Rattus norvegicus: one gene and its partners. The protein of the gene in region 2 purifies or fractionates together with the protein of the main gene of each other region. This does not show direct contact. Links are inferred from orthologs where the notes say so. Each region holds a gene or a part of one and is shown on either strand. Other genes may lie near its edges.

Region 1 (4,552 bases), on a different chromosome or scaffold from region 2:
AGACTGATTTTGGTACAGGCACCACATGGACACAGTCATGTGGTTAATCTGTATGAACCTCCATTCCTCTCCTATAGATTGGGGCAGTTAGATTAGATGATCTCTGGCCTGCCAGGATTCTGATGGAGATAGTAGGGATAAGGAGGCATGAAAAGCAAGAGGGAGAAGGTCTCAGTCTCAGTGGCCAATACCTACAACTAAAGCTGTATGGACAAGCACTAACGTAGGATCTGATAGGGACTTTCACTGAGCAGTCACAGGAGACCACTGCATAGCTTAATAAAAACACACACACAGCAACACTACAAGTACAGCCTGAGTTGATTCAGTGAGCAGTAATAACTATAATTAAGGTATGAATGTGTTGGAGCGCACAGCACAGAAGAGAGCAGGCTCACATTTGCTCGCCTTTAGGAGGCAGCCTTGTCCTTACCACACAGGAAAAACCGATAAACAAGGCTGACTGCAGCAGCTCCTTTGTTTCTGCTGATGGAATTGATGCTGACACTGGAAGTCAAACGGAAGGAAGGACCAGCCCAGTGGGGCTGAAGACTGCAAAGTCAAAGCACAGAGGCTGAAGAAGGCCTGGAGGAATGACTGGAATGTCCAATCGGCTCCTGCAGGTCAGGTAAGATTCTAGAAGGTGAAGCAAGTGCTCTAGTAGGAGAAATGGCCAGAAGAAATTATGTACATGTATGTGTGCCCATGTGCGTGTGCGTGTGTGTGTGAAGAGAGCAGCAAAGGGGAGAATACATGAATTCAAGACTCTGTAGCAAAAAATTTCAAGCTTCTGTTATTCTACAGATAGCCTTATATAACTCATATAAAGTTTTAAAAACTAGTTGGTAGTCATGGTTATTTTTTAGACTAGTATTTACTCTATACTCTAAAGACTATGTCAACCATGATAATGTATTTGAGAAAAGCAGAAAATTAAGACAAAGTCTTCTCACAAGGCAAAAATCAAAGAAAAAGATGAACTAGTGGTCTTTCCCTCAATGAGTGATGTCAGCTGCCAGAAGACTTAAGCACACTATAATAAAAAAGAAAGTATCAGAAAGGCATCTTTCCAAAGTGAGAATGGTGTGAGAATCAAAGTCTTCTCTATAAAGGGAAAGTTCTGTGAGGTACGTGTTAGTGATGTCTAGTCTTCTGCACCTAGAAATGGGAAGAATCAACTCAGTACCTCGCTGACACTAGGAACCATTGACTGGTTAAAGAGGCAGGAACAGCACTGCTCTATTTAAATGGGAACCAACACTTAAAATACTACACCAATGGGTTGGCAACTCCATTCTCCGCAAGACCATCTTTCAATATGAAGAGCTCCATTAACATGTAATTCTGAAAACCTAGGCAACACGTTCTTCTAGAAAGTAAGATTTCCAGGGTAAAAGCTGTGGCTCCTCTTTTCACAGGAAACCTGTGGGGTAGGAGTGGGGGCACAGGACAACTCCCCTTCCACCAGGAATAGGGGAGGTCAACAAAGAAAGGCAGAGTAACAAAGACCTAACAGCTGAGTCTAGAAGGAGAACCATAAAAATGTTAAATTAACAGCTTCATTTCTAAATTAAGGGAAATGTCAGCCTAAAGAGGGCTGGGGAAGCCGGAGGGGGCAGATCATAAGGATAATAGTGTTGGGAGGAGGGGTGGTTGAAAGAGGCAGCAGGATGAAGCCAAAAGCAAGTAAAAAAAAAAAAAAAAAAAAAAAAAAAGCCACAAGAGAAGGCACTTAGCTTAATGGAGGTGGGAAAGCATTCTCGAAGAAAAGGGCTCCAAGCAGCGGGGGAGAAGCAACTTAACCTTAAAAAAAAAAGCCTCTTGGGACTATGGGGGCTCAGCCCACGACAAAGACAGATGAAGCTGCGAAAAGTCCTCCAGAATAGTTCCTAAACCATTACTTTGCCATCCAGAATCCAAAAGCTTTGACTGGACACCTGAACACTTCCATTTTTCTATTCTTACATCACGCCCAACATGGCCATTAAAGGAAGAAAAGGCCATTCTTAAGCCCAACGGGCATTTTTAACCCCGTTCCAAAACTCTCGATTCTTCTTCAAGAAGGAAGGAGGAGACTCATCAAAACCCCAAACACCTCTAACTCGGGGGAAGCGGCTAACAGGCCAGTCCCCGTTCCCAGTGTTTCCCAACAACCGTTAACTTCAGCTCTGCTCGAAATCTGACCCGCACAATGGCATCTAGGGTACAGAGAACGCCCACTTCGGGGCTCCTGCGGACCAGAAGGCCGTCTGGTTCCGGTCTAGTTGCCCACTCCCAGAAGTTCTTTCCCTTCTGTATCTGCTCTTGGAACAATTCTTCCCAAGAACAGTTTTAGTTTCGTGTACCCCGGATTTCCCGGTTAATGTCACCGGGCTGCTTAAATCTTAGGATCCCAGCAGGTACGGCGGAGCCTGTAGTCCCAGGGAGGGCGGTGGGCGGAGAGGGGACCCCGATCTCCCAGGGCCGCCGGCCTCAGCGCGACGGGACTGAGGGGCCAGGGACCGTGAGCCTCTCGTTCGCAGTCCGCAGCTCCGCTCGGGGCTCGGCCCGCGAGAAGGACGCTCGTCGGGGACTCTAGTGTGCCCCCCTCCCGGTCTCCACAAGTTTCCAAAAGAAGCCCAGCGCCTTCTCCAGAGTCTCCTGTTGCCCTCCCTACCAGCAGTCGCACAGCAAGGACTTCCCGGGCATGTCCTTCTCTCTGTCTTTTCTCTTCCCGCACTTCCCTCTCTACTCCCAGGCCCCATTACAAGATTTCCTGTACAGGAGAGATTTTTAAAAAGAAAAAGAAAAAAGAAGACCACTCACAGCTTCACTACATTCTCCACCACAGCCGCCATCTTCCCAGTTCCTCTCCCTCAGGCCGGGAGGCCCCGAAGCCCGCAACGCGCAGGCGCTAAGCCTTCTCAGGACACACGGTCCTCGATCCTCTGCGCAGGCGCAGCCCGAGGGTGCGCGCACGCACAGGCTCACGAGGGCGAGCGCTAAAAAAAAAAAAAAAAAACGACCCGACCTGGAGCCTAGGGGATCCCGATGCGCAGGCGCGATTGGAAAACTATGCGCCCTCTGCAGCTCATTCTGGAGATCTGTCTCCCCTCCATTTAGTAGAGCCTCAGGAAGGCTTGGTTGGAAAGTGAGAAAGGTAAGTGAATAGGCCAGGCAGATGAGCTAGAAGGAGCAACAGTGTCCTGCCTAGCTGACCGTTAGACACATGATTGACTCACAGGGAAGGATTGGAAAGGTCAGGGAGGTACCCAGTCCTTTAGGTACCTCTGTCCGCAACCCCCTTTGCCTATTAATCTGCCTTTTTCCCTACCTCTCGTCGGTGGGCTAAAAGGGAGGTTGAAGCATTTAAGAACCCTAAATAAAGTAGGCTTTGAAAAACCTAAGCTTACACTACATAGAGGCTCAGAACTGTCTGTAACTCCAACTCCAGGATCCCACAGTTCTTTTGACCTACTTCTTGACACCCTGGCTCAATGGAACCCTATCTTAGGGTTTCCACGCCTGTGGAGAGATACTATGACCAAGGCAACTCGTATAAAGCACAGTATTTAATTGGGGCTGGCTTATAGTTTTAGAGGTTCAATCCATTATCATCATGGCATTCAGGTAGGCATGGCTCTGGAGGAGCTGAGAGTTCGACATCTTCTTCAGAAGACAAACAGGAGAAGACTGGCTTCTAGGTAGCTAGGAGGAAGGTCTCTCCAAGCCTACCCCCACAGTGACACACCTCCCCCAACAAGGCCACTCCCTGGGCCAACCATATTGAAACCACACAGATCCCCAAAGCTTACACATGGCTACCAGCTGTATGCAGTATTAACGGCAGGCCCTGGCAGAGTCTGTATTCTCTCACTTTCCTGCAGCCTCAGTGCTGGTGTAGCTTCTCTCCTGGCGGGGTGGGGTAGGGTAAAAGAGAGGCACCTTTCTTACATTCTTACTCATGCAGTCTCACCCGAGACCTGAGCTGAAGCTAGAGGAGCCACAGGTAGAGGACATTATTGCCTTGGGTTCTGGGACAGACACCAGCCATACATGGAACTCCTGTGTCAGAGTGGTAACCTGAAGCTTTGAACTCATTGACCTCAGGCACCTCCTTACACTGAGGTAGCTAGAAATAGAAGGACCTTCCCTCCTTAGCTTGTCTAGGCACCATACCTTCAACTATACCACAATCAAAAGGAAGTCCCAAAGTACACACAAGTGTTTAATGGACAGCTAACAATGTCAAGTGTTCCTACAGTACACTGGCTTTTTTTTTTTCTTTTTTTTTTTCGGAGCTGGGGACCGAACCCAGGGCCTTGCGCTTGCTAGGCAAGCGCTCTACCACTGAGCCAAATCCCCAACCCCAGTACACTGGCTTTTAAAATTTGTATTTGTTTTTGTTTTTTGAAAGAGGGTCGGGGTTGGGGATTTAGCTCAGTGGTAGAGCACTTGCCTAGCAAACGCAAGGCCCTGGGTTCAGTCCCCAGCTCCGAAAAAAAGAAAAAAAAAAAAGAAAGAAAGAAAGAAAAAAGAAAGAGGGTCTGTCTACATAGCCCTGGCTGTACCT
Region 2 (4,175 bases):
ACTGGAGACGATAATGGACCGGGAGCGAGAAGCGGTGAGTGACACGCAGTCAGGTGTCAACAGGAGCCTAGAACCTGCCAGAAGATGAGCTCAGAAGTGCTGAGTCAGACACAGGTGGCACAGCCGGGAGAAAGGCAGGCAGCCCAGAGGTTGAGATCCATAGGTGGGATGCTAGTCATGCTTTCTGGCCGCTGCACCTCTAGGTCCTCCACCGGTGCTTGCCTCTCACTAGGTTCTCACAAACCTGAGTGACTGAGTGGATTTGAGAGATAGTAAGAGACCCGGCAGGTAAATTTGGGAAATAGACAGAACAGACAGACAATATTGATTCAGTTTCTTTGAGAGGGCTGAAGGGGTTGGGGATTTAGCTCAGTGGTAGAGTGCTTGCCTAGCAAGCGCAAGGCCCTGGGTTCGATCCTCAGCTCCGGAGGGGGGAAAAAAAAAAAAAGAGAGGACTGAAAAAGAAATACAGCATGGGGACCCTGCTCTTAGAAACATCAAATATACAACATGGAGATCCTTAAACTACCGGAAAATTCAGATTCGGAGATGTCCTAGTGGAGTAGCTTGCGATTGAGAACAGATTGCTGTTCTAGAGAACCTACGTCAGCCCTAGGGGTTTCTCATGGGCACCCGCACTCACATGCACATGCCCTTACACAGACAGACAGACAGACATATCCATCATTAAAATAACTTTTTCTTAAAGATTTGTTTATTTTTTGTATATTCACTGTATATTCACACTGTCGCTATCTTCAGACACACCAGAAGAGGGCATCAGATCCCATTACAGATGGTTGTGAGCCACCATGTGGTTGCTGGGAATTGAACTCAGGACCTCTGGAAGAGCAGTCAGTGCTCTTAACTGCTGAGCCATCTCTCCAGCACCCCAAAAATAACTTTTTAAAATAAGAGATTTAATCCCAGTACTCAGGAGGCAGAGGCAAGTGGCTCTCTGTGAGTTCAAGGCCAGCCTGGTCTGCAGAATGAGTTCCAGGACAACCAGGTCCACATAGAGAAACCCAGTTTTGAAAAACCAATAAACGTATAAAAATAAAATTAATTCTGGGAGAATCAGAATAAAGTCAAAATTCAGAGGCCAGCGAAGTGTCTCCCTAACAAATAATTAAGTTTGTAGCTGATTTTGAAGGAAGGAAAGAACTTGAATTGACAGGAGCTCGAGGCATTTTCAAATCAGAATAATAACAAGTTCAGAGTTTTGAAATGAAGTGAACCGGAACCACAGCGGATTACCTCTCCTGCAGCGCAGCGAGGAGCAATGTCAATGGTCTCCGTCCCTGGGAGGGCAGAGGAAGCACATGGTTGAGTCTTGGGGAAACACTAGCATGAGATTAGGCTCTTTCAAAAGAAGAAGTGGGTCAGGGAGTTTGCCCACGTCTTCTGGTACCCGGTAACAGTTCCCACTGGTACCGGCAGCTGGAATATCAGAGGCAGCAGCTCCTGGCCGACCGGCAAGCCTTCCACATGGAGCAGCTGAAGTATGCAGAGATGAGGGCGCGGCAGCAACACTTCCAGCAGATGCAGCAGCAGCCGCCGCCGCCGCCGCCGCCACCGCCGCCGCCAGCCCTGCCCCCAGGCTCCCAGCCCATCCCCCCCACCGGGGCCGCGGCACCCGCGACAGTCCACGGTCTAGCTGTAGCTCCAGCCAGTGTGGCCTCCGCTCCTCCTGGCGGTGGGGCCCCTCCAGGAACCTTGGGCCCTTCTGAACAGATCGGGCAGGCAGGGACAACTGCAGGGCCACAGCAGCCACAACAAGCTGGAGCCCCTCAGCCTGGGGCAGTCCCACCAGGGGTACCCCCCCCTGGACCCCATGGTGAGTGTGCGTTCCAGAGTACTTGTTTGCTGTAGAGATGGGCAGATGTTCTGGTCCCTCTGAAGGGACACCCACCTGATGACTCGGATGTAAAAGTTTCTTGCAGGTCCTACAGGTGGGCTCCATTGTACTATGTCCCCCAACTAGCAGGGATGTGTTCCAAACAGATACCTGGTGGAGTTTCATTCCAAGAATCTCCTGCTTATTCTAGTCTCAGTACAAGGGGGTGGCACCAGCGGTGGCTGTGCAGCGGGTGCTGAGCAAGGTTCCAGTCCCTCACCCTGTGTTCTCTTCATTTCTAGGCCCCTCACCGTTCCCCAACCAACAAACTCCTCCCTCAATGATGCCAGGGGCAGTGCCAGGCAGCGGGCACCCAGGCGTGGCGGGTAATGCTCCTTTGGGTTTGCCTTTCGGCTTGCCGCTTCCTCCCCCTGCTGCTCCATCCATCATCCCATTCGGTAGTCTAGCCGACTCCATTAGTATTAACCTTCCCCCTCCTAACCTGCATGGTCACCACCATCTCCCGTTTGCCCCGGGCACTATCCCCCCACCTAACCTGCCTGTGTCCATGGCGAACCCTCTACATCCTAACCTGCCGGCGACCACCACCATGCCATCTTCCTTGCCTCTCGGGCCGGGGCTCGGATCGGCCGCAGCCCAGAGCCCTGCCATTGTGGCTGCTGTTCAGGGCAGCCTCCTGCCCAGTGCCAGCCCACTGCCAGGTGAGAAGGGGCCGGGAGGGGAAGGGTGAGGGAGAGGGAGGGCTCTACACTGTGGGAGGGAGGCCAGGAAGGAAAGGGCTAGAGCACGGGAGGAAGAAAGGCCTCTTGGCAGTCCTCCGTTTCCCAACTTGGCAGCTGTCACCTCTGGGTTGACGGGGCCTTTCACTGGTGGGTCGTGGAGGAGCCCAGTGGCTCAGAGGACGACCTCAGCTGTAAACCTGGAGCCTGGCCACCGTCTGCATGGCGATGGCTGCCCTTTGCTTGTTTCCACCACATGCAGATGCTCCACTTAGAGTCCTTAGGGAGAGGAGGATGGTCTGGGGAATAAGGAGTTCCCAGTGTCAGGTAGAGAAGAGTGTTAGGAAGAAGAAATTATACATAGTGGGTACCTCATTCATCCACCCACCCCTGCATGCCATGCCTGGGTCTGTGTGTGTGTGTGTGTGTGTGTGTGTGTGTGTGTGTGTGTGTGTGTGTAGCCTGGGACTGCAGCCATCCCTCTGCAGGCTCCAGCTCACTTACCTTCCTTTTCTCCACAGACCCAGGCACCCCGCTGCCTCCAGACCCCACAGCTCCGAGCCCAGGCACAGTCACCCCTGTGCCACCCCCACAGTGAGGAACCAGCCAGCTATCTCCCCTCACTCCCCATGGAGATCACAGTCCAGGAACCACCCTCCCCCACAACTGGGACCCTCCCTCAGCCTGGAGAGTTCATCACTACGTAAGGAAAGCTCCTGCCCCTTCACCACCCCACATGCCCAGCAGAGGTGTGCAGTTTTATATCCAATATTATCCACGGACTTCTAAGATGTTTCTAATGCCTGGGAGAGAGGATAGGAGGGAAGGATGTTTATTCAAGGTTCTATTACTGGTTCTGAGGGTGTACCTTCAGAATTACTGCAGTTTTGAAGTGATAACATGAAAATGAAACCCTTTAAAAGGGAGGTTTTAAAAAGACACATCTGAGACCACAAAAAAGAACTTTTTATTTTTATTTTTGAGGGGAAAGGGAACGTTTTAAGAGGAATTAAGTTTTGGGGCAGGCTGTGGAGATGGAACAGGGCACCAAGCCTGTCTGAGCCCCTTGGCAGTGCTGAGTCAGCCCCTCACCCATTCCACTTTATCAAACTAATCCCTCCTGCTGCTTGTCATTGTGGCTGTTAGGCCCAGCTCAGCCAATGACCTTCCCCTCTGAGTGTCAGCCTCGTGTTGTTTTTAAGTCACCTGCTCACTGTCAGCGTCTGTGTACTTGTGGGAAATGTAGTTTGCAGGGATTCTGTGGTAGGTAATAGAGGAAGAAGGGGCCTCAGGTGGGCTCTTCTTCCTGCTTTCCTGGTTGTATCTTGAGTGCCCAACAGGCATCAAACAAAGGTGGAGCTCTAAGAGGATGGGGAGTCTGCAACCCTTGAGTTTTGAAAAGCACTTAAGCACCTACTTTTGACAGTGGGACAGTCTGCTAACTTCTGCCCTCAGCAAGCCTGACAGAACCCAGTGATAGCTAGGAGTTCCCCAAATGAGGACAAAGATTTGGGAGCAGCGCAGCATGGCCCTGCCCCCAGGACTCAGTGCTTGGCTCCACCCACCAGGCGCTCTGCTCCTCCTCTGTCCAAGTGTTT
Region 3 (4,234 bases), on a different chromosome or scaffold from region 2:
TATCCGGGACTAACTAAGTAGACCAGGTTAGCTCCTGGTTGCAATCCTCCTCCTGACTCTGCCTTATTGAGATTACAGACTGTGGCCAGTTTGAGGAAATAGAAAAGGAAGGCAACAAATGTCAACAAACATCTCCACAGTGCCACACAGCAGCACATGAAGGTGTTTCTGCTACATATTCTCAAACTCCGACTGGTGGAAAATTTCAATTTACGTAAAATCAAATGCTGAAGACAACAGGAATTTAAAACAGAAAAATGGGGCACTCAAAACCCATACAACTAAGGAGACTAGGCTGATTCCATGACAGGCTTCAAACTGGCAGTTCAGGCGGCTAGGCCTAAATTTGTATCCAAGAACTGGGCAATTCCAGGCAACCCCAGGCCTCAGAAGCTGCCCTACCACCTGGCCTGAGGCAAGGACAATGGGTCAGCAGCATTTCCAGACTTCCCCCAGCAAGTTTACAGCCCCCACAGTCCCCAAGAGAATGTCCTTAGAGATGGGACCCAACAGATTAACATAAGGGTCACCAAACCCGGAATGCCCTAATGTGCTTTAAATCAGGCATAAAAGCTCTATTCTGGTAATGGGAGAGCCCAGCATGCTGGACTTCTGTAGAAAAAAAAAAAAAAAAAAAAACACTCTGCATTTACATACTATTGAGAGTTCAGGGTATCATTCTTTGCCGAATCATGGACCCTTACACAACTTTAAAACAAACATTACCAAAATTAACAATCCAAATTAAAACACTAGTAAAAATTTTAGTGGCTAATTTCTCAGGAGAAAAATGTTTAATTTCAGGTAGAAAAATAAAACCACTGTTTGACTGCTGGACAAGACTTGAACAGAATATCAGAATTGCAGTAAGACAAAAAGCCTGGATCCCTTAGAGTCACCCTAGCACCAGGGAGGCCGATGCTAAGACAGGGACTTAACTACAAATTTAAGGCCAAACTAGTCTACGTATCATTTTCCAGGCCAGCAGGACTATAGTATGGGGCTCTCTCCCAAAAATGAAAAGGGGGGAGGGTGTACCCCTGAAAAGGAAGAATTTAGTAACCTCCTGAGTTGCTCTACTGTTCCTCCTCAGGCAAAATAAGAACGAGGAGAGGGAGGGTGCAGAAGCCAGAGCAGCTGTCTCCTTAACGCCACAGAATTTCCCTGTTTTCCACACCCTGAACCATTCTTTTGAGCTTGTCCTCAAATTTCCACTCTACTTAAACCCATAACAAATATGCAGTATTTTGCAAGGAAAGGAAGTGAGTAAAGTAAATGAGTCTAAGCTTTCCTTTATTCCTGAACTCAGCAGCGTCCATCCTACTACCACATGACAACTCAACCCTCAGGCAGCTTCACACCACAGCCATTAAGTTACAGCATGTACACGTAAGTGTGATGTCATATGGGCATGTGGGCACGGAGTGCTGCCCACCATGCACAAGGGCAGGTCAGAGGACAACTTCGAGAAGTTGTTTCTCTCATTCAACATGTGAGTCCTACAGACTCAACTCAGACTACGATGAGTCTTGGAGGTAAGCAAACTTACCTCACTGGCCAACATCATAATGTTTGCTTAAAGATAACAGTACACTCGTCATCTGACAAAGGAACCCAAGAAAGACAAAGGAGTCATGAAGCACCACAGCCTGCTCTGCACAAGAGCTGACCCAAAAAGGAAAGAGACTGAGAACTGCCAAGTGCAAAAGCACATCCACAAGCAAGCAGAGCACAGCTACAAGGGGTCAATTACCCACCTAAAGGGTACAAAAGGAAGAGCCCAAAGGAACTAACCCCTCCTGACTTCCACCAGGGCAAAGTGTCAGCACAGACTTCTCATTGCAATATCCTTCCTAATTTAAAATTTACTGGTGAATTTCTAATTCTTTGAAAATATCAATGAAGTATTGTGGCAATCACTTTAGTTCATTCGTAGACTGGAAGCCCTGTTTCCTCAAATGCAGATCTGGTTCTGAAGAAATAATCAAGATGTTCCCTTCTGACGTATGATTTGAAAACGCCAGATCCTGACAGCTCACTTAGCTCCTCACCCCACACATTCCTCTACTCCCACATCTCCAGGAGCCCAAGTTTCGGATTATCTAGGAAGTTTGTATCAGTAGCTAAGGATGTGGCCAGCTCACAACTGTGGGAGCTACTTCTATTTCTCCCAACTCTGATCCTCTTTTCTCTTCTATCTGTTTTGTTGCAACTCATAATCATGAATGAAGGAACTCTGCCATCAATCAACATTCGACACAGACCAGAGAAGAAAGTAAAGTTCCTTACATGACACAGCAAGTGACTCAAGGGCTAGCAGGAAACAGAATTAATAATTTGTGCACTGCACAGCCTCAAAGCCCTACGTGTACACCACAGTGAAAGGGTGGGCCACCTAAGGTATATGGTGCTCCAAGAGCTCACAAAAAGACCAGAACCAAAGAGAAATGGTTTAGCAGGGAACCAGATTACAAAGAACAGGGAACCAACATGGCAGACCAGTCAATGACTCAATCAGCTATAACTACTAACCTCAGGTCCAAGTCTTCCTTACCTCAGTTGTGGGAATATTTCTTGTTTTAACAGCTTATCCTAACCCCTCACCTCCCAAAAAAGATTCTAGAGGTGGCCCAACCTACAAAACCAGACACCCGAGCAGATTCGGATAATCTTATACTTTGAACACAATGAGTTGAACTGCTAGGCCACCCTCTTTTCTGGGCTTATACGGCCTTCAAAGAGACAAGGGTCTGGAAGGACCAGAAACCGCACACATCATTTGGAAAGCCTCACCAATTCAGTACGAACAGAGTGCAGTTTGTACTTCACCAGGAGCTCCTGGTGAAACACTGGTAAGACAAGTGTCCTCAGGAAGGCCCTACCTGGTCACAAACAGACAACTGCATCAAGGACGTGTCTGCAGACATCTAGTCTAGAAAAAAGTGACAGCTCACGGACCCCAACACAAGACTTAAGGAAAAAGCCAGGCACACTGACCCACCTATGATGCCAACACTCAGGAAGCTGAGGTAAGAAGATGAGCTCAGGACTAGCCTGGGCTACGGAAGAATGTCATGGGCATGGAACAATAAATATGATCATAATTGATTTGTCTGAGTTCAGAATGTCAACTTTCTTTCTTCCTATCCTGAATACTGATTCTAAACTCATAAACATTGAAAAGTATATTCTATATTATCTCAAATCCACAGTTCCCAACTTCACTGAATTAATAATAGTATTAAATATTATAATCAATTTATAGGTTTAAAAAGAATGGTCATAGGCCATGGAGAAATGAAGCTGGTGACTGGAAGCCTTCTGCCTGCTTGCTCACTGTCATAGTACCGCCAGTTGTTACCCAGGCTGCTGGAGAAGAAACATCTTCAACAGTCTCACTGTGAACCCCATGAGCTGTAGTAATAACTAGCGGGGTTAGGATGTCCCTAGAGGTACAGTAGTGGCACATTATGTTACAAGGGTAGCCAGGGGCTTTTTTCTTTTCTTGTTTTCCTTTAATTGGTTCTAGGGCCAGTTCCACAGGAAGAAACTTCTATCTGGTACTCTAAGGTTGGCCAAGAACCCATGGCTTCTAAACCAGGGGTGAAAATACTATTACATTGCTAAATGAATATAATATCAAACTAGCTCTAGATAAATATCCGTACCCACACATTAGTGCAGCACTCAGACCTTAGGAGACAGCATCTTTGCGCAGTGGAGGATAGTTAATACACGAATGGTCAGAATACAGATCTGTGGAGTATTCAGCCATCTATGGGTCCCCAAAGTTCAGGGAGCATCAAGAATGAGTGGGTAGGGAAAGACTGCGAGAACCAGAGGTTCAGCAGGACTATACTAAACAGTGTCTCTAAACACGAAAGGACTGATGCCCTCACAAATTCTCCGCTGCTGTGGTTGCCTGTGTAAGACTTGCATAATTATCAAAACCAGTCAATATTCCAGTATAGAAGGGCTAATTAGCCCCCACCCCTAAAAGCTGATAATGACAGTTGATGGCTTCTGGGAGAGGGAGAGCCAGTTTTATCTAAGGGTAGATCAGCAATGCTCCACTGGCTGACCCCACACCAATGTGTATAGGAGCAGCAGAAATTGGACTAATTAGGGTAAGAAAAAAAAAGGTGACTTGAGAGAGAGAGAAAGAGGGAGGGGGGAGCACGAGCAAATAAACATGAAGTTGGGAAGTAAGGTAAGAGGTGGAGATACAGGGGGA
Region 4 (4,434 bases), on a different chromosome or scaffold from region 2:
GCTTTGTACATATTAAGCTCAAATTCTACCATTAAAGCAATATTCTCAGTAGACATTTTCATTTTTGCCTTTTTTTTTGAGACAAGCTTGAATGTAGACCAGGCTAGCCCAGAACTCAGTATGTAGCTGAGGCTATCCTTGAACTCCTGATTCTCCTGCCTCTACAAGTGCTAAGGTTATAGGCATACATCACTATACGGGGGAGGGGGGACTTTTTTTTTTTTAAATCACTTTGTTATTTTTCTGAAATTCAAATTTACCTGGGTGTTCTGTATTTTCCTTTGCTAATTATGGCAGCCCCATGCCTTAGCCAGTGGTGAAATGCATGGTTGGTGCCCACAGTTAATAAACAACCCCAAAGCCTTCAGGGTTGATTGCAACACTGTTGTACAGACAGGCCAAGACCAGATCCCGTGACTCAAGGAAGCCCCCTGCATTTCTGTGTAAGATGGGGACGGGAAGCAGATCCAAATTTCTACAAAAGTCCACCTTACATAAGGGCGTTTACAAGGGCCCCTGTGTACTCCAGTGACTCCACCTGACTAGCCAGTCCTAGGCAGTTCTGGAAGGGGAAGGGGCACCGAGTCCCCTAGTTGACAGCAGCAAGGAACTTGAGTTTCATGCTTTGCCCAAGGTCACAGCTAGGAAGAGAAGTAGAAACTCGAGCAGGAGATCCCAAAAAGCCTGAAGTCTTTAGAGGTCATGATGCACTACGGGGAAGAAGGCGGCCACATCCCCCGCTGCACTCCCAGGCTCCGCAGGCTGTGAACCCGCTGGGATGGAAGAAGTCTCCAGGCCTGCTGCTCTGGGGCCCGCAGGGTGGAAAGCCCCATCCCTCCATCTGCCCGCCCTGCAGAGCAGCTGGCAGACCCAGCGGCAGCTGTCACAGCTCCAGGACCAGAAAGGCAGCTTACACCGGCCAGCCTGCCGCTTTCTACCGTCCAGGCCGGTGACAGACAGAAGGGACGCTTGCTCTGATATCAGTTCTCTACCACCCCAGCCTTCCCTTGAGAGTCCCACAGGAGAGGGTCCGTTACTGTGCTGTTTTCCTGTGTTTTGGCCTGCAGCTGTTTCTGCCATTTTTAAATGGCTCCAGTTGGGCACTAGTCGCCCTGCTCAGCAGGGGAGCTCCCGGCACCCAGGACTTGGATCTCAACTTTGGAAAGCCTCCCCTTCTCACGGTTGTGAAAATTCTTTGTCCCATTGGAGCCAAACCCAGCCCACGGCGGGCATCCGGCCATCCGCAGACAGCCCTTTCCATAGGAGGCCCGGGAGCACGTGGACTTTATTGATTTTTTTCCTTGCCTTTTTTGTTGGGTTTCACTCTGAAAGGACAGCTAACTTGTGACACCATCAAGCCGGAGACAGGCACCCCCAGAAGTGTTTAAAAAAAAAAAGACAACAACAACAGAGGCGTGACTCAAGAAATGAAACCCCCCCAAAATAACAGCCTGCAGTGGGGCCTGGCCAGTTCCTATAAAGGACAGGTCCAGCCAGCAGCCGCTGACACTTGGGGACACCCTCGCAGCTGCTCCTCTCCCGCTCGGACCCAGATGAAGCCGTGGGAAAAAAAAAAAAACGTAATAAAGTTAAAATCAGGGAGCAGGGAGTTTTCAACAAGTCTGACCCAACCTGGTGGTGGACTACTGGAGCCTCAGGCCTGGTCTCTGGGGCCGCCTCGGAGTCAGATCCCGACGAGGGCCGTGAAAATGTTCCATCCTACTAATTATAACGAGGCCACGCCGGGCACGATCTAATTTGAGCTCGAAAAACACGCACGGCCCACACCGAATCTCCCGGTCCCCTCCTCCTCCCCCAGTGCAGAGAACAAAAACAACGGTCGCTCGCTCTCTCCGCAAAACAAACACCAGCTCCAGCTAGAAGAAGGCAAGACACGGCCCAGGACTTGGCTTCTGGCTGCAAACATCGCGTTCCCCAAGCTCCGGGTGCCGCGCGGAGCGCGTGGGAGCCGTGGGTGCTCCGCGCCCGGGCCGCGCCACCGCCTTCCTAGCGCTCGCCCCCATCTTCCTTCCTCGCCCGGAGCCCTCGCTCCAGGCTGCCCAAAGCGCTAAATTTAAACGGCTCGCGCTCTGCAAACTCCGCAGACTCGAGGGCGCCGAGGCCTGGGAGGCGGGGAGCTGCGGGCGGGTCGGGGCGTAGGGTGAGAGTGTGTGTGCGTATGTGTGTGTGTGTTGGGGGGACACCGGCGCCGCGCCGCCCCGGGAGGAGACGGCGGCCCGCTCCGCGCTGCACAATGGAGCTCGCGCTCTGCCCGCCGCCGCCGGCATCACGGCCCCGGCGCGCGGGAAGCCGCTTTCATGTGACTTGCACAAAAAAACGAAATGGCTTCTGGGGCCGGCTGCGAACCCCCCTCTCCCGAGAGCCGAGCTCGGAGCTCCGGGCTCCGGGCTGCAGCCGCCACCGCCACCGCCACTGCCTCCGCCGCCGCGCCAGGTGGGCGACCGGCGCCAAGCACACCTGGGCAGCGGACGCAGCCCCCGCGGGGCGCAGGTGACCCCGGCCGCGCGCCCTCGCCAACTCCGGGCCCGGGGCCGCTGCGCCCCGCCGCTCTGCGCGCTGGGTCCCGGCTTGCTGGCGGCCGCGATGCGGTGCAGCGAGCCGGGGAGAGCTAGAGAGCGAGCAGGCGCCTCGGCTTACCATTTGCGCACTTTCTCGATAGCCGCCATGACCCTCTTGATATCATCTTTGGCCCGGCTCCTGGTCTCGGCTCGAACCGACCTGCCCGACATGGTTCTAGCGGGGAGGGAGAGAGAGGAGAGAGAGGCTGGGGGAGCGCGCCCGCCGGGTCCTGCTCGCCACACTCGCCCGCTCTCTCACTCGCGCACAGACACACACTCACACACATACGCGCACACACAAAGCCTGGTGCCGCCGCGCGCCCGGGGCCCAGTGCGCAAGCGCCGGGCGGCAGCTGCACAGAGCGAGGGGGAGCGGCGCGGCCGCCAGCAGTGCGGCCTCCGGGCGCCGCCGCCCACCCCGGGGAGCCTCGGGGACCTCGCCCTGGGAAGCTATCTTGGGTGACCCCGACCTCCCAGCACGCGGGACGGCCCCGCGACCGGACTCACCCAGAGGCCGCAGGTGCGATTGGGGGCCTCTCCGTCCAAGACACACACCCTGGGGATGGCAGACTGCAGGCCGTGGGTGCTCTGGCTCGGGTTGGTGGCCGCGGGCGCGATCGTGCAAGTTTCTTGTCGGGCGCTTGAGTTCTCGGAGTTGGAGGCTGCGGTTTGGGACGCGAGGTGATCTTAGAAAGAGTTGAGGCGCCGGTCTCTGGCCAGCTGCCTTGTTAAAATGTGCGAGCTAGAAAGTCGCTTCCCCATGCTTAAACTACAGTCCTAGGAAAGGTGCTGGAGCCCGGTGGCAATTGACATTGTCGCAGGACTTTCTTTCCCGTAGAGATAAGTTGTCCCAGTCACGGATCAACCTCCTTGGGGTTTTCTGAAAATGACAATTTAATCTGAAACGGCTCCTAGTAGAAGTGCAGTGTATTGGCCCGGAGCAGCAAGTAAACCGGACTGGTCCAACACAGAAGGACTTTCTTTTGAGGAACTGTCTTCCTACCCTAGGACCGAGCTGCGTGGCAGAATGTACCGCGGTCAACCAGGATAGGGACAGGTGGGTGTGCAGTTGCGGCTAGACAGACTGGACCAGAGCGAATGCTCGTCCAGGTGGATGCTGGGACAAGAGATGACCTAAAATGAGCATTGATGCCAACATCAGCCCTTTCATAAATGGGGAAACTGAGTCAAGGGGTGATTCAAGGTTGCAGCCGTGAACTTCATCTGCGACTGCTGTGATTCTAGTACCCAGCACCCCCCCTGAAGTTTGGGGTGCTGCAGGGGTTTGGTAGAGGGAACTAGTGGGGAGATGGGGGTGAGAATCTGTGGGATCTTCCCCAGGCTTATCTTTTAACCACTTTAAACACAGGATCCTAATGCGGAAAAAATTAAAATATGGAGGTTGGGGATTTAGCTCAGTGGTAGAGCGCTTGCCTAGCAAGCGCAAGGCCCTGGGTTCAGTCCCCAGCTCCGAAAAAAAGAAAAAAGAAAAAAATTAAAATATGAACGGTCAGGCCTGGTAGCCCAGTCCTTTAACTCCAGCACTCCTGAGGCAGAAGCAGGCAGATCTCTGTGAGTTCAAGGCCAGCCTGGTTTATGGACGTAGTTCTAGGACTAACTAACCAGGACTACATAGTGAGACGCTGTCTCAAATCCAAAATCGAAAAACAAAAAAAAAACAGTCGAGCCAGGCAGTGGTGGTGCACGCCTTTAATACCAATACTTGGGAGGCAGAAGCAAGCAGATGTCGATGTGTTCAAGGTCAGCCTGGTCTACATAGCAGTGAGTCCCAGGACAGCCAGGGCTACAAAGACAAACTCTACCAAAACAAAACAAATAAATAACAACAACATAC
Region 5 (4,463 bases), on a different chromosome or scaffold from region 2:
TAGCTTGAAAAAAACAATCTCACTTTGTATCCGTGGGATGCTATCACTTAGTCAATTATGTTGGCTCCCTACCTCAATTACTTCCTTTGAAACTCAGAAGGGAAAGTAGGTGTTTCTTTTGACTTATTTTATCATTTGTGTGTGTATGTGTGTGTGTGTGTGTGTGTGTGTGTGTGTGTGTGTGTGTGTTCAATCCTCGATGAGCCCCCCTTCTCTCTCTCTCTCTCTCTCTCTCTCTCTCTCTCTCTCTCCACACACACACACACACACACACACACACACACAACACAAAGTGCCATGGTGTGAAGTCAGAGGCAACTCTGTGACACTGGTTCTGTCCTTGAACCCAGCTGAGCCATCCTCTGGGCCATTGATTTGGGGTGTTTTGTTTTGTTTTGTTTTAAACAGAAACATTTAATTACCACGTTGAAAAGTTGACTCCCAGTTGATCTTGGAGCATCTCATGCTCTGTGGGGTGAAGGAGAAAATGTGTTCTTCTCCAGAAGGAAAAAAAGAGGCACAGGAGCACTGCTGTCCAAGGGACCTGAGGTAACTGCCTAGCTTCTTTTCTAACTGTATGGACTCACGAGTCTCCAAGATGACTACGGCAATGATCTCTATGCTGCATATTATTTAATAGAATTTTAGTTTGTAACATAAAATGAGGTACCTCAGAAAGTTTAAAACCACAAGATACATCAATGATCTTTTTTTTTAATCAATGATCATTTTATTATAACAATCTAAGCAACCTCAGTTTGGGGTGTTGAAAACCTACACAGAGTCCCTAGCATAGCACCCGAGTTTGTAGGAGCTTAAGACTGGGGAACAGGCATCCTGAGCTGTTCCACCTTCCATAATTTAATGCGTAACCAGCGGACAACACCAAAAGTATTTAATGTGATTTTCAATTAAAAACAAGATCCAGGGGCTGGAGAGATGGCTCAGTGGTTAAGAGCACTGACTCTTTTTCCAGAGGTCCTGAGTTCAAATCCCAGCAACCACATGGTGGCTAGAGGCCATCTGTGATGGGATCTGATGCCCTCTTCTGGTGTGCATGAGGACAGGGGCAGTGTGCTCATATACACAAAATAAATAAATCTTAAAAAAAAAAAAAACAAGATCCAGTTACCATTAATTGATATTTCCTGCACATTTATCGTAATCTTCTATTGTTAAGAGCAAATGTTTTTCTAAAGTGTGTTTCTTAAATATAATAACTAAATAAAAAAAATCATTTTGTTGTTCTTGATTGCTGTTGTTACTGTTTTTGTTGTTTTTCGAGATAGGGTGTAGCCTTGGCTGCCCTGGAACTAACCCTGTAGACCAGGCTAGCTTAAGATCTGACTGCCCCTGCCTTCCAAGTGTCAGCAACTCAATACTCAACCAAGGAACTCACAACACATTAAACAACCCCAACCATCTGTCTCCCATCTAAACAAAGCTTGAACTGGAATACTTTTGGGAGGCTGGAGAAATGGTTTAGAGGACAAGAGCACTTAATGTTTTTACTGAGAACCTGGGTTTGGTTTCCAGCACCCACAAGGAGACTGGTAACTGCGATTTCAGAGAATCTAATGTTTCTTCTGACCTTCCCAATATGTACACGCACATGACGTACACAGACGCATAAATAACAAAGGAATTTTAATCCATTTTTCACCTTTCATCGTTGAATGAAAAATAAGCAGTTAGCACCCAGATCAACCACTCACGATAAGCAACTAACAGACTTATACAAGAAAAAATTCTACTGAGAAAAATAAAAACGCCAGACTTGAGTTCAGAAGGAATCCCTTAAGCAACATGCTTTCTGCACGTGTGTGCTTAAAGAAAGCTGCTCACAAGACTACAGGCTCAACCTGGCACACTAGAGAAACCAACTGCGTTTCCAGGCACTGCCAGGCGGGTTTCTTCAAAGAAATTAAAGCAACAGTTGGGCAAATGTCAAATGCCACACTACAGAGAACCTGACAGTAAACAGAAACCGATGGCCTTAACCCACAGGTCTGCGAGGGTGCCCCATCAGTATTACAGGTAGACTTGCTCGCCTTAACCTTACTCCAAGGCAGGGAACAAAATGTTAATACTCGGGGCAAACTACTAAACTTAACAGGCGACTTTCTAAAGTCTACAACACTGAGATCTAGAATAGTGCATTGCTTTTAGACACAGGCTCAGAGAATAATAAAGAACCTTTGTGTCCCCAATTGGCAGTCCCGGAACGGCGACTGGGTGGCACGCTCTGAGGACTCAGCTCCCAGCGCTTCTATCGTGACTTCATGCAAACCGCCCGCCCGTCGGTGTAGATGGCCAACAGCGCCCGGCCGGAGAGAGCAGGCTCGCCCTCCGGAACCCTAGCGCCCGCCCTGCGCGCTCAGGCACATCTATCTGCGGCAGACCGGAACAGACCCCGGGTGCGTCCCCGAGCCCCCGGCTCCTTCCCCGCCAGCCCCGAGCCATTGCGGAAGGTTCCCAAGTTGTCCTGAGAGGGCCTCAACTCCGAGGAGTTTGCGGCGCGGCACTCTGCGTTCCGGCTTCCGCGACTAGGGTCCCGGCGGGGCGGGGCGACGCCGGAGTCTCGGGCGCCACTCCCCTCCCGGCCCCGCGACGCAAGGCCACCGGGCCGGCAGAGAAATCCGGCGGCGGTTGCCGGCGCTTTTGTGCGGGCAGAGCAGGCGCCAAAGGGCTCCGTCGGGAAGCGGGCGTCAGCCCGCCCCCACGCCATCCCGCCTCGGGCCGCGTCCGGGCGCCTCTCCCAGCTCACCTTCTGGATGGCGGCGGGCGTGATCTCGCCCTTGCCCCGCTGCCTCGGGGCTGCGAACGCCACAGACATATTGCCGCCGAGCCCGCGATCAGCGAGTCCCGAGCGCTCCGGGGGCCGCGGAGCTGGGGGCCCGACGCCCGCCTCCGGGCAGTCCCACCTTAGCGCGCGCGGTGGGGGAGGATGCTCCGGGGTCGCGTGCCTCGCTGGCCAGCTCGGCCTTAACGCGGGGCTGCAGCTCCCAGAAAAGTATTTGAGAAGCTCACTGTCGCCGGTGTGGCTCGAGCCCAGGTTTCCGCCGTGGTCCGCCTCGCTGTCCCCGCGCGCTCTCCAGCCGCACCCCCGCGTCCCTGCGCTGATGGTAGCGCCGCGCCGGCCGCCTCCGCCCGGACGCTCAGGAAATGGTCCCGCCACGACGGGAGGGAGCGGCTGGGCCGCGCTGTCACAGGAAACACGGGGCCCGCCTGCTACACTAACCCCTAACTGCGCCCTCGACCCCCCTGGGGAAGAGGCTCGCCCAGGCCGCAGCCCAGAGGAAAAGAGGACAGTCGGGACTCAGGAGCGCCTACCGGGTCAGCACAGAGAACGCCGATTCGCTAGTTTAAATGGCTCCCAGAGCTCCACGTGCGCACCTTGGAGTGCACGCTCGCCAAGTCTAGCCTAACCGAAAAAAAAACCCGGGACTCAAAGTTGGCCTAGAAATACACCCTCCTCACACTTGTGGATCTACTTGATCTGACTTGGGGCCTTTGGAACGAAGCTGTGAAAACCCACCCTCTTCTCCAGTTAAATACTTGGTGCTTAATTAGGCCCAGACTTCAAGTCAGTATGAGGGGAATAAAGCCAACAGCTGCAAATTAAAAAGGAACACGTTGCTGCGGGTTAATTCTGCAACCGTAGACTTCCCAGTCGCACAAAAGGGAAGTGTATGTGAATCATTACTCAACATCACTGATGCACAAAAATTAGTGTCTAGCCGGGTGATGGGGGTGCTCGTCTTTAATCTCAGCACACAGGAAGCAGAGGCAAGCTGATTTCTGAGTTCAAGACCAGTCTGGCCTACAGAGTGAGTTCCAGGACAGAGCTACATTGAGGGACACTGTCTCACAAAAACAAAAAATTAGTACCCAAATTATTAATAAAGTAAAAAGTAAACATATTTTTTAATGTTATTCCAAATAAATTTCACAGGTCAGTTTAATTTATTCAGCAGTTCTCGGTGTCTGTGCCCTATATGGGTGGTAGAACTGACCAACTGCACCGGAATCTCTCAAAGATTTCATGCCGTCATATAGAAAAGATATACACAAAGTAAACAAAACCAAATATGCATGTAAGTCAAGTTTAACAATGAGCAAACAAGGTCAGAACTACAGGCTACTCGTGTGACTTAAGTTGGGAATTCTCCACTAGATTTAAAGAAATCTAAAGGGTGAAGACTAGGCTTTCAAGATGGCTCATCTGGTAAAGGTGCTTTGTGGCCAAGCCCGACATCCGTGGGTCCAACAGGGTGGAAGGAGAGAAACAACTCAGTCGAGTTTTATTCTGACCTCCACATGTGGTTCCTCTGCCCTGTGCAGGTGAAAAATTGCAACACACACACAGACACACAGACACAATAAAGGATGAAGACTCAGGCCATTCTAAGAACAAAGGATGGAACCTTCTCTCTCCCCATACCATGGTAACTGTTCTTGGG

The links. Proteins that work in one complex are often made in the same cells at the same time.
Region 1: the proteins of Smarcc2 (region 2) and Dpf2 purify together in Homo sapiens (affinity purification with mass spectrometry; 8 studies listed by BioGRID and IntAct, counting the BioPlex papers as one, with this or other methods). This does not show direct contact. The link is inferred for Rattus norvegicus from reciprocal best matches to the Homo sapiens genes SMARCC2 and DPF2.
Region 3: the proteins of Smarcc2 (region 2) and Tbl1xr1 fractionate together in Homo sapiens (co-fractionation; 3 studies listed by BioGRID, with this or other methods). This does not show direct contact. The link is inferred for Rattus norvegicus from reciprocal best matches to the Homo sapiens genes SMARCC2 and TBL1XR1.
Region 4: the proteins of Smarcc2 (region 2) and Bcl7a purify together in Homo sapiens (affinity purification with mass spectrometry; 4 studies listed by BioGRID and IntAct, counting the BioPlex papers as one, with this or other methods). This does not show direct contact. The link is inferred for Rattus norvegicus from reciprocal best matches to the Homo sapiens genes SMARCC2 and BCL7A.
Region 5: the proteins of Smarcc2 (region 2) and Ss18 purify together in Homo sapiens (affinity purification with mass spectrometry; 3 studies listed by BioGRID and IntAct, counting the BioPlex papers as one, with this or other methods). This does not show direct contact. The link is inferred for Rattus norvegicus from reciprocal best matches to the Homo sapiens genes SMARCC2 and SS18.

What each region holds. Positions count from the first base shown.
Region 1 is NC_086019.1:212,625,402-212,629,953, forward strand, and holds the start of Dpf2 (zinc finger protein ubi-d4), read right to left. Parts: upstream 2,889-4,552; 5' UTR 2,838-2,888; coding exon 2,806-2,837; intron 2,498-2,805; exon of another isoform or gene 2,346-2,497; intron 1-2,345. UniProt on the Homo sapiens protein: Plays an active role in transcriptional regulation by binding modified histones H3 and H4. Is a negative regulator of myeloid differentiation of hematopoietic progenitor cells. Might also have a role in the development and maturation of lymphoid cells.
Region 2 is NC_086025.1:1,490,341-1,494,515, forward strand, and holds the end of Smarcc2 (SWI/SNF related, matrix associated, actin dependent regulator of chromatin, subfamily c, member 2), read left to right. Parts: coding exon 1-34; intron 35-1,440; coding exon 1,441-1,837; intron 1,838-2,139; coding exon 2,140-2,559; intron 2,560-3,098; coding exon 3,099-3,175; 3' UTR 3,176-3,537; downstream 3,538-4,175. UniProt on the Homo sapiens protein: Involved in transcriptional activation and repression of select genes by chromatin remodeling (alteration of DNA-nucleosome topology).
Region 3 is NC_086020.1:106,729,319-106,733,552, reverse strand, and holds the start of Tbl1xr1 (F-box-like/WD repeat-containing protein TBL1XR1), read right to left. Parts: upstream 2,889-4,234; 5' UTR 2,775-2,888; intron 1-2,774. UniProt on the Homo sapiens protein: F-box-like protein involved in the recruitment of the ubiquitin/19S proteasome complex to nuclear receptor-regulated transcription units. Plays an essential role in transcription activation mediated by nuclear receptors.
Region 4 is NC_086030.1:38,901,883-38,906,316, forward strand, and holds the start of Bcl7a (B-cell CLL/lymphoma 7 protein family member A), read right to left. Parts: upstream 2,889-4,434; 5' UTR 2,751-2,888; coding exon 2,659-2,750; intron 1-2,658.
Region 5 is NC_086036.1:6,107,026-6,111,488, forward strand, and holds the start of Ss18 (protein SSXT), read right to left. Parts: upstream 2,889-4,463; 5' UTR 2,837-2,888; coding exon 2,768-2,836; intron 1-2,767. UniProt on the Homo sapiens protein: Appears to function synergistically with RBM14 as a transcriptional coactivator. Isoform 1 and isoform 2 function in nuclear receptor coactivation. Isoform 1 and isoform 2 function in general transcriptional coactivation.